Linked DNA regions of Struthio camelus. The protein of the gene in region 1 interacts with the protein of each later gene in a pairwise test. Links are inferred from orthologs where the notes say so. Each region holds a gene or a part of one and is shown in the gene's direction. Other genes may lie near its edges.

The links. The genes of interacting proteins can lie anywhere in the genome.
Region 2: the proteins of CCNDBP1 (region 1) and CCDC146 interact in binary tests that used the Homo sapiens proteins (3 or more experiments, as listed by UniProt). The two-hybrid records come from large-scale screens. The link is inferred for Struthio camelus from reciprocal best matches to the Homo sapiens genes CCNDBP1 and CCDC146.

What each region holds. Positions count from the first base shown.
Region 1 is NC_090959.1:19,674,343-19,682,324, forward strand, and holds the start of CCNDBP1 (cyclin-D1-binding protein 1), read left to right. Parts: upstream 1-4,880; 5' UTR 4,881-4,932; coding exon 4,933-5,023; intron 5,024-5,099; coding exon 5,100-5,159; intron 5,160-5,812; coding exon 5,813-5,892; intron 5,893-6,615; coding exon 6,616-6,697; intron 6,698-7,148; coding exon 7,149-7,245; intron 7,246-7,982. Other genes in the region: ZNFX1 (NFX1-type zinc finger-containing protein 1), read left to right, coding at 392-487, 2,309-4,741. UniProt on the Homo sapiens protein: May negatively regulate cell cycle progression. May act at least in part via inhibition of the cyclin-D1/CDK4 complex, thereby preventing phosphorylation of RB1 and blocking E2F-dependent transcription.
Region 2 is NC_090942.1:14,107,357-14,114,481, reverse strand, and holds the start of CCDC146 (coiled-coil domain-containing protein 146), read left to right. Parts: upstream 1-4,069; 5' UTR 4,070-5,570; coding exon 5,571-5,725; intron 5,726-7,125. Other genes in the region: protein FAM185A, read right to left, coding at 3,130-3,517. UniProt on the Homo sapiens protein: Essential for sperm flagellum biogenesis and male fertility.

The sequences.
Region 1 (7,982 bases):
TTTGTGTTTTTTTGTTTGGTTTTTTTTTTTTTTGGTATCTGGAGAAATTGATTCTTCCTCCAGCAGTCCTGGATTTAAAATTCTCTAGAAGAGATCATGTAGTGGTTAGGGTGAGGTGCTGGATTTTGTTATCTAGAACCCTGTTCTCCTTAGATTGCAGTGAGACCAGCATGCTTATTACAACAGCCTTGCCAAGTGATTTTCATGAAGGTACTTTGGTAACACTCACCTTGAAGTTGCTGTTGGAGGGAGGGTTCTCATCTTGATTCTTACTGGAAAGTCACCCTTGTCTTGCATTTGGCCGCTGTCTTTACAGTGAAACAACAGATTCTTGGCAGGGAAATATGGTGCTTCTTCCTCAAGACTGATAGGCTGCTGCTTTGTGTTTCAGCACCGCATGCGTCCTGAAATTGCCCAGCTTCTCAGTCCCCACATATACCAGGAGCTGGAGAACCATCCATCTGTCCTGAAATATGAAAACATAAAAGTGAGTTTTCAGCAGTCAAGCACTTTCTCTTGTCCTCTGTAACTGGCTAAAACAAGTTTCTGTAGAATAGTATTTAAGGATTTTAACTTCTTAAATCAAGTTCAGCTAAAGAAACTGATATGTAAATCAAGGAAACAAGGTATACAGAATTAGGCAAATAACATGTAACTTTGTCTGGCATTAGCAACTGTAGGCATTGTAAATGGATCCAGTATTGAAGACTGTAAAAGAACAGACAAAAAGGAAGATGGACCAAAAGAGTTGTATGTGATTGAAAGCTAGGAAGAAATCTTAAACGAGAGACTTAGAGCATAATTTGTGAAGCTCCCTCATAAGATAGGTGACTTGATTACTTGGGTTCTTTATTTTGGCACCTTTACGTGTACACAAAATCTGCAAGCAGGATCTATGCAGTTTAAAAGTATAAACTAATCGTTGTTAGCTAACGTGTGCAACCAAACAGCTAGAATTTAATGATTTATTAAGCTGAGCATTGGTATGCTTGCCTCACCATAAGATGCCTGAAATGTCTTTGCAAGTCAGGCAGGCCTCAATCAGAAGAGGAAAGGTCAGCCTCTGCTGCTTCCTCAATATTACTGAGCTTCCATTTTCCACTAACTCCCTCCTTTCTGATTTTTTTTTTTTATTTCCCTGCCCCACACCAGTTATGATTTTATACCTTTCTGTGTTAGTGCTTATCTTTTTATCTTTGAACTAGTAACAATCGTACCTATGTAACTTTTACCTGCCCTATCTTGCATAGCCCTGTTCTGCAGACTTTTGCACAGCCCTCTGTCACAACTTAACAATTTCCTCAGAATTCTGAGTCAAGGTGACAGCAATGCTGTGTCCGAGCTAGGTCTTGAATCCTTGGAACCCAAGCAACTGAATACCCTGGGAGAAAGAATTAGAGGTGGTTACAGAGAGGATTACAGTAACTTAGTCTACTTAGATCTCTTTGTGAAAAGACAGTACTCGTTAATGAAAGCTCTTTAAGTGAATGAGATAGGTGTACCAAAAACCACTGTAAAATGCTGAAGCCAGGCAGGAGAAAATGAATAGTGAGGATGATTACTTACTAGAATAAGCTGTCTCTAGGATAAAGTTGCATGTCCCTTCTTTGTATCTTCAAATCCAGATGAAGTATTTTGTAGAAGATGCCTTATTTAAAAATAGCTACTTAGGTCAGGAGAAACAGGATAAAATTTTGTGGTCTCCTATAAGGTAAGCTATTCTGGAGAATGTTATGATCCCATCTGACCTTTTTTTAAAAAAAAAAAAACAAAAAACTGAGATATGATAATTTTATCATTTTAGATTCTTATCTAGTACAGTAACCAACAGAGGTGACAACTAGATTAAAGTATACAGCAGTTACTGCAGCTATGGTCACCTTGGAAAACCAGAGATGTGTGTGTGATCCACGAAAAGTGTTCTTTCCTGAAAAAAGCAGTCTCTGTGTTTTGGTATAACAGCCCAAGAATTCTTTGTGGGTGGAAGAATTCCAGTTAATAGGCAAAAAAATGAAGGTCCCCATTAACCCAAGGCAAATGGAAGTTTTGGACAGGTGAGCAGATAACTCACTAAACCCCTGCAGTTGATGACTATTGAGTGACTACTGGAAATGTCACTAATCAGCTCAAAGTCTCCTCTGATGAATATACTATGGAAATCTAAGAGGCAATTATTTTAGGAGAGGACTACAGGATGTGGTTACTGCATACTTAAAGAATCTTAGTAAGGGATAATCAGAGATATGGGAAGAGGCTGTAGAGACAGAAGGTAGAATTCTACTTCTGAGATTCTTTTCTTTTGTTTCAGGGGGTCTCATCTAACCTCTTCTTTGTGGAGCATGACTTTCCTGAGCAAGAGATCCAGGAAGGGAAAAGCCACCAGAACCCACATGAGGCCCAGTTTGTAGTGGAATTGTGCAAGTATTTCTTGTGTCAGGATTATCTACCTTCTCAGATCACCATTCTTACTACCTATACTGGGCAGCTTTTCTGTCTGCGTAAGCTCATGCCGGCCAAGACCTTTGCAGGTGTGAAGGTTCATGTAGTGGATAAATACCAGGGGCAAGAGAATGATATTATCCTGCTGTCGCTTGTGCGGAGCAACAAAGAGGAGAGATCAGGGTTCTTGCAGATCTCTAATCGGATATGTGTAGCATTATCCAGAGCTAAGAAAGGGTTGTATTGTATTGGAAATATGAGAATGCTTGGCAAGGTTCCTCTCTGGAGCAAGATCATTCACACCCTCCGGGAGAAAGGCCACATTGGCCGCTCCTTGATGCTTTGCTGCCAAAACCACCCTGAAACCAAGACACTGGTATCTACTGCAGCAGACTTCAGCAAAGTCCCAGAAGGAGGTTGTAGTCGTCCCTGTGAATTTAGGTTGAGTTGTGGACATGTTTGCACAAGGGCATGTCACCCGTATGACACACAGCACAAAGAGTATCAGTGCCTGAAGCCTTGTCAAAAGGTGCTTTGTACAAACGGGCATCGCTGTCCGCAGTTGTGTTATGAGCCCTGTGGACACTGCATGGTGAAAGTTGAGAAAATTATTTCCAAGTGTGGCCACCGACAGATGGTGCCGTGCTCTACTCCAGACACTGAGTTTTTTTGCCAAGAACCTTGTCAGAAAAAGTTGAACTGTGGGCACAGGTGCAACAAATTCTGTGGGCAGGAATGCACTACAAGGTGTCCTGAGCTGGTTACAGTTGCACTGAAATGTGGCCACATCCAGCAAGTGAAGTGCTGGATCACTGAGGAGATGAAACAGGGGATGCCTGTGGAATGTAAAACTAAGTGTTCTGTCACGCTGGAGTGTGGTCATGTATGCTCGGGTTCCTGTCATTCCTGCTTTGAAGGAAGATTTCATAAGCCGTGTAACAGCCCATGCAAGCGCTTCTTAGTCTGCTCCCACAAGTGTCAGCAGCCTTGTACTACCGAATGCCCTCCATGTCAGCTGGACTGTCAGAACCACTGCATTCACAGCAGATGTAAAAAGAAATGTGGAGAGCGCTGTTTTCCATGTGCAGAGCCATGTGAGTGGCGATGTCAGCACTATCAGTGTACCAATCTTTGCTCTGAGCCATGCAATAGGCCTCGTTGCAATGTACCGTGTACTAAACTACTGCACTGTGGACACCCTTGTATTGGATTGTGTGGAGAGCCCTGCCCACAGAAGTGCCTTGTCTGTGACCATGAAGAAGTCACGCAGATCTTTTTTGGCTTTGAGGAGGATCCAGATGCTCGGTTTGTACAGCTTGAAGACTGTGGCCATGTTTTTGAGTCCCAAGGCCTTGACCACTATATGGATGAAGATGATGATGTTATCAAGCTGAAGGTGTGCCCTGTCTGTCAGACACCTATCAGAAAGAATTTGAGATATGGCACCATTGTGCAAAGGCGTCTGGATGAGATAGAGAGAGTGAAAGAGAAAATCCAAGGCCCAGTACAGGAAATTGAATCTAGCAGACAAAGACTGCAGGCTGCACTAGCAGAGAATGCTGTTCTGCAGAGGAATCTACCCCTTAAGTACCTTATGCTGGAAGATAAACTGAGAGCCTCTGTTCTGTCCACAAAGAGTATCGGACTAATTGAGAACCAGCTTAACTTCTATGACCGTCTAGCTGATCTGACCAATTCGATGAGCAAAATTGATGCAAGTGAGAGGAAAGGGCTGAGGAAGCGTCTGGATGAAGTCCAGGACTGGCTGGATAAGCCACGCCTCAGTTTTACAGGGCAGGAGCTCTCTGACCTGCAGGCTGAGATCCAGAGACTGACCTACTTGATGAGCCTCTTGGCAAGGTGCAAAGGTGCAAGTGGGAGGATCACCCCAGCCCTTGCAGAAGAGATTGCCAGTGTACGTGAGATCCTGGAAGGGACAAAGAAATTCACAGAGAAGGATGAGGCTGCAGTGAAGGCTAGATTAGAGAAGCTCTGCAGTGCCCTGCCTGTGTCAGGGCTGGGGATCTCTGAAGCAGAGCGGGTGCAGATTGTCAGTGCTATTGGCTGTCCCCGCGGTCACTGGTTCAAGTGCAAAAATGGGCACATCTATGTCATTGGGGAGTGCGGGGGTGCGATGGAGAGGAGCAAGTGCCCCGAATGCCGTGCGGATATTGGTGGCACAAACCACACTCTGGACAGCACCAACAGCCTGGCCCCCGAGATGGATGGGGCCACGCACGCTGCCTGGTCCGACACAGCTAACAACCTGCTCAACTTCGAGGAGCTCCGCAGGCTGCTGTAGAGGCCTCCGCGCGGGCTCGCTGCTGCCCTTGTCGTTAATAAAGTGTATCCGTGCTCCCTTGTGTCTCGTCTGTCAGCGCGGGCCACGGGCCGAGCGCGGGGCGCGGCCCCCGCCGGCACCGCCCTTCCCGCGTCGCTACCCGGAAGCGGATGTGACGGCCGTGAGGGAGCGTCGCTGGCCGCTCCGCCGCCATGGAGCCGGCGGGCCCGGGGCCCCGGCAGGCGCGGGAGCCGCTGCGGGACCTGCGGGGCGCGCTGCGCGCGGTGCTGGCGCGGGTCCGAGGTGGGGGCCGGGGCCGGGGCCGGGGCCGGGGCCGCGCCGCCTCTGGCCTGGCTGAGGTCTCTTTCTGCCTTTGCAGAGGGCGAACCGGGCGAGGGCCGCGAGCCGTTCGAGCCGCCGCGCTTCTGGGACGCGCTCGGTACGGAGCGGGCCGGGCTAGGGCGGCGCTGGGTCGGGCTGCTGCGCGGAGCAGAGCGGGGCCGGGGCTGGAGCAGGGCCAGGCCACCATGGGGGACAGAGCTGGGCTGGGCAGGGGCAGGCACTGGGCAGACACGTTTAGCAGTTTTTGTGGGTGGTGTCAGTGGCAGAGCTGGGACATCGTGGTGCTGTTACATGGCACGGCTATGAGTTGCAAGAGAGGTCACCAGGAAAGTCTCCAGTCAAGGCTCCTGCCCTCGTCCTCGATTTCCTGGTGTCATTGACAAAGCAGTGGGCAGTATGGAGTGATCGTCATGACCGAGCTTTTTAAAGGCTTTGGTCTCTGTTAAAGCTTCCTGGCGTGTCCTGGTAAAGGTAGCATGGGCTAGGTGACAAAATGTGATAATGGATTTCAGAACCAGCTAAGTAAAAAAGTAGAATGGACAGTTTAGTGTGACACAGCTGCAATGTGGATTTTTTTTCCTCTGCTGTAGCTTACATTCTTGTCATATTTAGAAGTGAGAGACAGTAATCAGAGAGTAGATGTTAGGGCAAAGCAGCATCAGAGAGGACGTTGCTCATCTAGCTGCTCTGTTTTTTCATCTTTTACTTAAGATCCTGATAAATGTCTTTTTCCCATTGGATCATTCTTAGGTCAGACATTCAAAGCAACATCACAGGAAGCTACGAAGCTGAGTCTTGCATTCTCAAGGCCTCCACTGCCTTCTGCAGAGGTGTGTGAAAGCCCCCACAGAGTGTGAAATTGCAGTGCATATGATAAGTTTCAGATATCTCCTGACTGGCTAGACTAAAATAGAGTCGTTGGATTTAATGTAAACAGGGCACATTTGCGTGGACTATAGGTTGCAGAATGTATTAATCCAGTTCAAAAATTGTCTAAAGAGCTAATTTCTGGAATTTGGGAGGGGTATACCAAATAGAAGTATTCTTATATTCCTTTCTTTAACATTATTTGGCACGTACAACTGCTTGCTGGTGGAGACAGTATATTGGGCAATGTGGATCTTAGGTCTAACTAAGAATGGAAGTGTTTTTGCTGTTAATTGAGAGAAGTTTTAACACACCTGTGCTTGAAAGAGGGGAAAAAAGACCACCAGTTCAGAACAGTGATCTAAGCCGCTTCTTCCTCACTGATGCGTAACCACCAGACTAGCGGGTGTTTTCTGTTACTAAACTGTGAGGAAATTCATGATGCATACAATGAGTCTGCAACTCTAGCAAATTACTCTGTTCTGTGCTTGTAGACTTCAGAAACGCTTAAATGCCGTAACTTACCATTGTGCTGTATTTGTTTCTTGAGCCAGCTGGCCATTGCTGTGCTTCCCTACAGTCTTTTTTCAAAGTAATCTGGATTTAAATGGTTGCTTGTGAGACTTTCTAAGTGGAACGCAGCAATGCACTTTTCCTGGTTAATCTTTTTGCCTATCCGTTTTTAGGATTGTCGGAAGCTGAGTGAAGACGTCCAAAATGCGATTCTTGCAGTTGCCACAGTGTACTACTCGCTCCCTAAAGGCCAAGGTGAGATGGTAACAGCAGGGCAGTGCCAGTTCTTTCATCACTGTATGATGAAGCCCAGTATCTCAGAGCCCGGTAGGAGACCTGGCATCTACAGGAAATCAAGTTTTCATGAGCAAAGAGAGTCCCATTGTCAGCTATTCCATAGACTTGCAACATGGTTGTGAGTGAACCACTCCACTGTCTACTTCTGCGGATCTCCAGCTGTGGAAGAGTGATAATGTAGGAAGAGGTATAGTTGATTGAGTGTTCGTATTTATAAAACGTTGAGATTTTGCCCAAAGTCCTTTTGAAACTCAGGAACAAACATCGCTTCCTTCAAAATACCTGTAACTTTATTTATACCATGTGTCTGCATGAATGGAGCTGCCTGTGTGTTCATCTTTGGCAGTTGCTTTCTGTCGTTGCTGTCTTTTTGTTGCAACATCGTTGCTCTTTTCTCAATCTCAACCAGGTACTACTCTTCGGAAGATGGTACGAGATGCTACTACTGAGGTAGTGGAAGGAATGATCCAGCTCACAGAAACAATTCTCAATACTCCATTGGAGAGGTAGTGCTTTTCCGGAAAGAAGAGAGAAAACATTACAAGTATACTTGCAAGGGGGCAGCAAGTGCAGGCTGCTCCCAAAGGGAAGGGGGGAGCCAGGAGCCGACCATGGTTATAAGGCAGGCAGAGGCAATGCCCTCACCAGCAAGGGCCCAGTCTCACAGTATCTGATTGAGCAGAGCAGGCGTGGTGAAGGTGGCCGCGTTCAGTTGAGAGTTCAGATCCTCAAACAAGTCTATAGCGACAAGGTACGTTTGAGGTCAAGCTGGAGAGTCAAGCTGGCAAGTCATGGTCAGGATCAGATCCTGAAACAGTAAACAAGGTTAGACACAGACCAATGATTGCCCAGTTGGGTCAGTGGTGAATTGGGTCCAAGGTCAAGTCAGGAAGTCAAGTCAGGATCGGGGTCGGAATCGAGGGGATATGAGACTGGGTGCAGACATAGCCACCACACAGCTATGATGTAGCACAGACAGGGCCCAGCCAGAGAACCTCAGCTTGAAAGTATCTTCTAGGGGAAGGAGGGACTGGGCCTCACTAACTTTCTTCATAAGAGCTCTTAATAGTAAAAGAACTGACCTTGGACTTAGCCAGATAAACTCCTTAACTGAGCCATCTAAAGTCCTAGGAGGGTAGAATCCCCTCAAGACCCTGACAGTACTCAGTAACCAAGTGGGGTACCTTTCTGTACGGAGAGAATAGATTTTCATCCTATCTGTGGCAAGGAAAGGAGCATGGAG
Region 2 (7,125 bases), on another chromosome or scaffold:
TAGATTGCAATTTGTTTTTACAAGGGTTAGGATACTGTGCTGATAACACTGATGTTTAATGGATACTTCTTTCCTATACAAAAGAAACAACCCAAACATTTTTTTAGTAATCAAAAAAACCCAGAACAACAAAAAAGCACACACACACACACCACACACATGCAAACAAATAAAAGACACACCCACCTCGAAACCCCAAAGAAACTAGAACTGAGGGGATACTTAAAAGTAGAACCTCATTGGCAAGCAGCACACCTACTGCACTGAAGTCTTCACTGTAATACCAACAATAAGGTGGTCTTCCAATTATATCCAGAGATAAATCTAGATATAACTGGATAACAGCCTGAACAATACTAACATCACAGGGACTCTGGGGTGCCAGATAGTAAGTAATAAAGAGGGATTGTAATACACATACTGAGCAAGATACTTGAACTGTATGATCTCACCACAAAACTAAGTGGAACAACTTGCTTAAAAAAACTAATAAAACCTATTTCAAGAACATCAAAAGCAAGATGCCTGCCAAACAGTCTGCAGAGCTAGTCGATGTTCAAAATACAATTGCAGTCTCAAAGAGCAGAGTACATTTGAAAGGCTAAATGCATTCCTTGCATCAGGGCTGAGATTACCTGGATCTTAATGCAGTAAGACCTTCTGCGCTGCCCCTCCCGCAAAGAAGAGTTAAAAAAAAAAAAAAAAAGCCTGGAGTAGCACACAATAGTCATTCAAACGTCCTAGAAAAACTCAAATACAAGACTGCTACCTATCACCTATATTAACCAAACATGCCTGGTACCAAAGAAATGAAGGGCAGTAAATGGGAAACTTAGGTTTTTTGATTGTTTGCAGTCCTGGGATGGACTCCCTTAATGAACCATACAAGTAAATGTAATCTTTGTACTTGCCAAGCAGGAAAAAAGTAAGAATTTAGTATACAGACAATTCATAAGGAAGAGTCAATTCTGTAAGAAACTTTTAAGAAGTCCCACCTTATAGAACTACTACAGTTCACTGAAAGAGTCAATGAGTACGTAGATAAGAGTCGATATATTTATGAACACTCAACTTGGATTTTCAGAAGTCTTTGACGAGGTCTTTAGTCCTATGCTTTATTTCCTGTCTTTTAACTAATAAATTACCTGTCATCTTTAGCCTTTCATGAATTTGGAAAACACTGCAAATATCATGGTTGCAAAGTTTCATCAACAATACCGAATTATTCAGAGTTACTAAAAAAACCTGACAAATTGCAGAAAGGTCTTAGAATACTGCATACCAGAATGATAAAAACAGATACTCAGTGGACAGTATACCTGTGCAATTATTCGCCAAAAGGCCTACAGTTTGTTTACACATGTAAACAGTTTCATGATGAGAATGGATAAGCACTTGGAAGGAAGATTTACTGAAAGAAAGATTCACTGTTTAGCTTTCTGAGCCACATCAGAGCTGAAAATGGCTGATGGATGTGAGAATACTTCAATGACATATCATCTGTGTTTGCCCTGTTCTTATTCTTCCCTGAGCATCTGTTTACAATTGCTGCTGTAGACAGGACAGTGGGCTAGCTGGACTCATGGCATGAATTCGCACGGCTATTCTATATAGGAAAAAGTGAGGCACATTGCAGACAGGGCAGAGGGGAAGCCCTTGATTTTATTTTTTTTTTTAAACCCAAGATACGTCTCTAGATTAGTCGTTAGGACACAAGAGGGACCTTGAGTTTTGTTTCTCATACAGATGAGAAACATCAATTCTCAGTGTTCAAAAAAAAAGAATAAATGAACAGTGACCAGAGAACAAAAGAGAATAGTGTCACTTTATAAATCCACTGCACTACTGCATTTTGAAGATGATATACAGTTTAGGTCCTTCTAACCTCACAAAGAAGGACATCACAGAATTTGAGAGGATATAGATGAAAATAACGAGGATAAAAAGGTACAGAATGTCTTTGCTGTCAGAAGAGCTTGGAAAAGCGCTAACCAAGAGAACATATACAGATGACACACACGAGGAGGGATAAACAGGATAGGATTAGTCACCATTTCTCATGGCACAGTTACAGCAGAGTAGCAAATGAAATAAAATGCCAGTCTCAAACAGCCACTTGAAACAAATACAAGGGTTTTTGGTAAACTGAAGATTTTTTTCAGCATAGCGGAACTGTATCTACACTACATACTTTGATACCACTATATATCTACATATGCACACATATAGTTAGAAAAGCAATTACATAAATTCATAGAAAAAAATACTTAACAACTGAAAAACAGAAATTGATCTCTAAGTCAGGAACTCCCGAAACCTCAGCTCAAGCAAGGGGATCTGTTAAGGCAAGCTTGCCCTGTTCCTTCCCTAAACCTATGGCCACTTTCAGGACTTCAATCCAGCAGATTTCAGCTACTACAGCTGCTCTTATGAGTTGTTTGTAGGTTCTGTACGAGAAACGCTGCCCAGATTTTTCTGTTCTGCTCAAAACTGCTAAGACTTGCACTGGAAAAGGGAGCGCTTCTTAGCTTTTCATCTGCATGGCTACCTTCCAGCCCTTTTCGACCCCTGGGGATCCCTTGGCCTGCTAACAGAGCTTGGTAGCAGGCCATATGCAAAAACCCTACTGGGAACAATCCTTAGACTGCAGGTGTGCATAGCACAACACTAAGGCCTGTATTCTCTCAGCTGAGCTGCAGTTACTTGTTTTTTTCTAAAAGACCAGCTGTCAGAGGAAAAAAAAAATAAAACCAGGCATCTGAGCTACCACTTAAGAGCGCTAGTTTTAGCTTTAACCGTTGAAAACCAAAGCTCAACAAGTGTTACGTCCAAACATGCAAGGAACCGGGAGACACGGAAGCAAAGGCCGACAACGTTTTCAAGCCTTGGAAGGGGCCACGAGGCGTTTCTGGATGCTTGTTGCCAGCAGCACTTCCAGTCCCACTGGGAGCAGTGCCGGGAAAGCCGCGACTCGCCCCACCCGAGGGCGGGATCCAGCTCTCCCCTCGGTTAAGAAAGGCCTGAGAGCAGCTCTCGCACCCGCAGGTGCCGGCGCGGCCAGGGGCGTCGAGCGGGGCCTCGCACGCCGTGGGGGCCCCCAGTGCGGCCGCCACCCCCGGCTTCACCCACCGAACTTCGGGGGCGTCTTGACGTCCACGGCCGCCTGGCTGCCCACGCTGTCGGAGACGATGGCCACCTGCTTCAGCACCTCGTCGTACCTCACCTGGACGTGGTCCAGGCGGCGGCCGCGGTCGGCGCCGCTGACGGTGACGAGCACGCGGTCGGCATCCGGGTAGCGCTGCGGGTCCAGCGGGCGCACGCTCACCTGGCAGGGCAGCCGCACCGCCAGCCGCCCCCGCGGGCTCACCGCCAGCGCCCACTCCCTCAGCGCCTTACCGCCGCCGGGCTCCGCCGAGCTGCCGCGGCGAGGCCCGCCCGCCGCCAAGCCACCCCGCCGCCCGCTCCCCTGCCACCCGCCCGCCACCAGAGACGCCCAGCGCGGGCGCAGCGCCCTCATGGCGCCCGGCGCGGCAGAGGCCCCCGAGGCTACGCGGGGCACGGAGCCATTTCCCGCCGCGACACGGCGGCGGCAGCAGCGCGCAGATGGGCACCGGGACGGCTGGTAAACAGCCGTTGGCGGCGGGCCCGGCCGGAGCCTCGCGCCAGTCCCCGCCCCCCTCCACCGAGGGGGCTTCTGGGAGACGTAGTTCCCCCCCCCCCCCAGCAGAGGGAACTACAAGTTCCCGAAAAGGGGCGACAGCAGCCGTACGCATTGACCTATGAGCGAAGGGGGGGAGGCGGAGCTTTTCCGTGTTCTGCTTCTATAGGGCAGCGGGAGGGATCCTAGGGCCAATGAGGAGCGAGCGTGACGGGCGAGGGCGGTTGAGTAGTACGAAAGGAGCGGAGCCGGCGTTGCCATAGGAACGTGGGACGCCGCTCCGCGCAGCCGGGGCCGGCCGCGGCCGCGCAGGTAGGGCAGGGGGCCGGGGCCGGGGCCGGGGCGGTGGGCCAGGCCGGGCCGGACCGGACCGGACCCCGGAGCCGGGCCTGGCCCTGCCGGCCCGGAGGGACAGCAGCGGTTGGGGTGGAGGGGGGGCTCGGGGCCACCTCAGCCCCGCTCGAGGAGGCTGCGAGGACAGGCCGGGGCGGCCTTCCCCCTCGCGGGGCCTCCCGCGGGGTCACCTCACGCGCCAGAAGATGATTTCGGTGCTCTCGAGGCCTTTTCCGTGCTCTCCTCGGGCCGGTCGTGGGGCTGCCGAGCTTTAACGTCCAGTGCGAGCGCCGGCGCTGGGGTGCCTGGCTGGTTTCCAGCCTGCTCGGCCCCCTGCGGCCCCCGCGGCCGCAGGCAGGGGGCGCGGCAGCGCGGGGCGGGGAAGGAGGAAAGGGTAAGGCCTTTGGGCGGCACCCTGCTCTTCGCTGCGCTTTTAGCCCGCAGTGACGCTTCACGTGATGAAATGCCCTTGGTCAGAGGATAAAGAAGCAGTTTACCAGATATGCTGCGAAAAACATTTTTCCAAAACAGTGTTGCGGAGCTCAAAAATTACGTGCTGTCAAGATAGCTTGGTTAACACGTTATTTATTGTGACTGCTTCTCAGACAGGCAGCCAAATAAATATTTTCCTTAGTGCTGTGCAAATGTGTCATGAAACAACAGTCCTTACAGGGTTTACCAACAAGTGGGGAAATACAGACTTCAGTTAAAGAGACTTTTATGGACTTCTTAGTCCACATTAGTATTATACAATAATTTTTAAAAAGGGGTGTGGATGAGCATAGATCATGTGAAGCTGGAGATTAAATTCCTGTTGTAGGTTTCCTAACAGTAGCTTACTGCCAATAATGAAACAGGCATAGAAAGGTGTGCGGTCTTAGCTACATTGCAACATAAGAAATAATGAAATCTAGGATTGTTGATTGGTTTGCTCACTCTTTTACACTCCATGTGTTGTTTCCAAAAATAACTATGCAAGCCATACAATATAATATTTGGTTTTAAGCTCTTTTCATCTTGTTAACTTCACTTCTGTTATTATCTGCATCTGGGAGTGATTATTTTTTAGTCCAAAATGACATTTAAATCTCTAATAGGAAAGAAGCTGGTCCTAGTTTTTTTGTCTTTCTGTAATTTTCACTGTAGAGAGTCTAATAAGGATTCATATTGGTCAATGAAGCTCTTCAAGTTAAATTATTTTGTTGGTTTATGTTATTCAGTCTCAAAAATCCTTAAATGAAAGACAAAACAGTGACGGTCAGCAATATGCTAGAATTCTAGAAAGACAAAAAGAGATTAAGACATATCTTGGGGCATGAAGAGGGCTATAAGTTAAAATTGTCAAGTCTTCAGAAATAGTTGCTTTTGGAAAAACAGTACAGAATTCTCCCCCTGAAACCAAATACTGAGTTTAGCTGTTGGTTACATAATTTGACAGGGAAGCAGTTACAGGCCTGTTAAATGGTGGTGCAATGAACTATGCTTCCACCAGATGACAGGCCATTCAACAAATAACTCTATTAACCTCCTACGTTCAAAGCAAGGAATTCCAATTTTTTTTTCAGGTGAGGCTTGACTGATGCCACACATTTCTCCTGAAGTTAGTGCTGCTGTGTCCTTATCGCAGTTTCCTGTCTCCTCTCAAACCTTAGCACTGCTGCCCCGCTGCCCCCCTTTCCTGCAGCATCTTGATAGGGCATTTGATGCTGTCTTCTTGGAGCAGAGGTTTATCAGGTTGGGCTCCATGCAGTGCTATGCATCATTTCTTATGCATCATCTTTAATATTGGCATGTCTCATGTAATTGAGAGTCTTGGTTTGACAAACTGTTCAAAGATGCTGAAGCCCTAGCTACCTATATATTTCACCGTTTTATGGGTTTGTTTTTTCCACTAGACACCTGTTAGAGGTATAAACACACTTTAAAATATATTTAAGAAGACTGAAGAAAGCAGGAAAGGTTCTACTGATGTCATCTGTATTTGAACTATAAAGTTAATTCCATTTCACCTTCATGCTTGTGACTGAATTCTACTTGATTCCATATCAGCTGGTATGGAGTGTGGCAAATTAAGTATTTCTTACCATCTGTGCAACAATAAAATGAGATTTATTTTCACTTTTAATTTTCTGACTTGTCACCTGCCAGAAAAGAAACCTTATATCAAATTTACAAATGGTTAGGGATTTAATTCGATCTGCAATTTCAAGACGTCTGCATCTGTACAATAGGGTGGGTTAAACCAGGACCTGTGAAAGTAAGTCCTTAATGATTTACCATACTCCTTAGTCATTGCCAGATGTTTACGTACCTGAATGTTGTGGTAAGTGAAAGAATTTACCAGAATATTCTGTATTACATGCAAGAGACAATAAAAAGTAGACCTTAGGTTGCTTTATGAAATAGATTTTTAAAGCCAGAGCTATATAAGAGGAGCTTTTAGGCTAAGGGAAGTCCAAGAGAGATCTTAAGGAAAGAAGAATTAAAAGAAACGGTCCTCCAGGAGAGGCTGTAGAAGGAATACGTATTTCACTTTGACAGTTAGAACAAAGTGCAGAACAAGATCAGACAGCTTCAGAAACCCAAAGGATATAAACATTACTTAGTCTACTTGGGCAGGATTAAGGTCATCCATTTGCCATACTTGTAATGAAGAAATAATACAACTTCACTATTCAGTAAGAAGAGGCTGCCCTGCAGGAGTGTTCTTGCTGGAATTACGTTCCTGCTGATGTTTACCTGCAGATGAAAGAACGTATCCTTTCAACTTGCCATCTGGAGTTAGGGCAAGATTTACCATGTACATGGCTAGTCACTACTTAGTGTTTCTTCATGTCATAAAGCTCAAGATGTTTGGTATGAGGATTTTTTTGTGAAGTTTATTAAAAATTCTTATGTATTTCTATTACAAAATATTTGTATTACATTATTGTAATTCAGTTTTTGTTTTGTAAATAACATTATTCTGTAATGTTTTTCTGGAACTACTTCCTTGAGCCTTCTTAAGTTCTCAAGTCATGCCTAGGGCACAATGTTGAGCAAACCTTGTTTTTTTTCTGTGTTTTCTTTCCTGTATTCTAGTGTGTGTGTAGGGATGGTAACAGTCCCTTCTCTGAGATGGTAGAGTGAGGCTG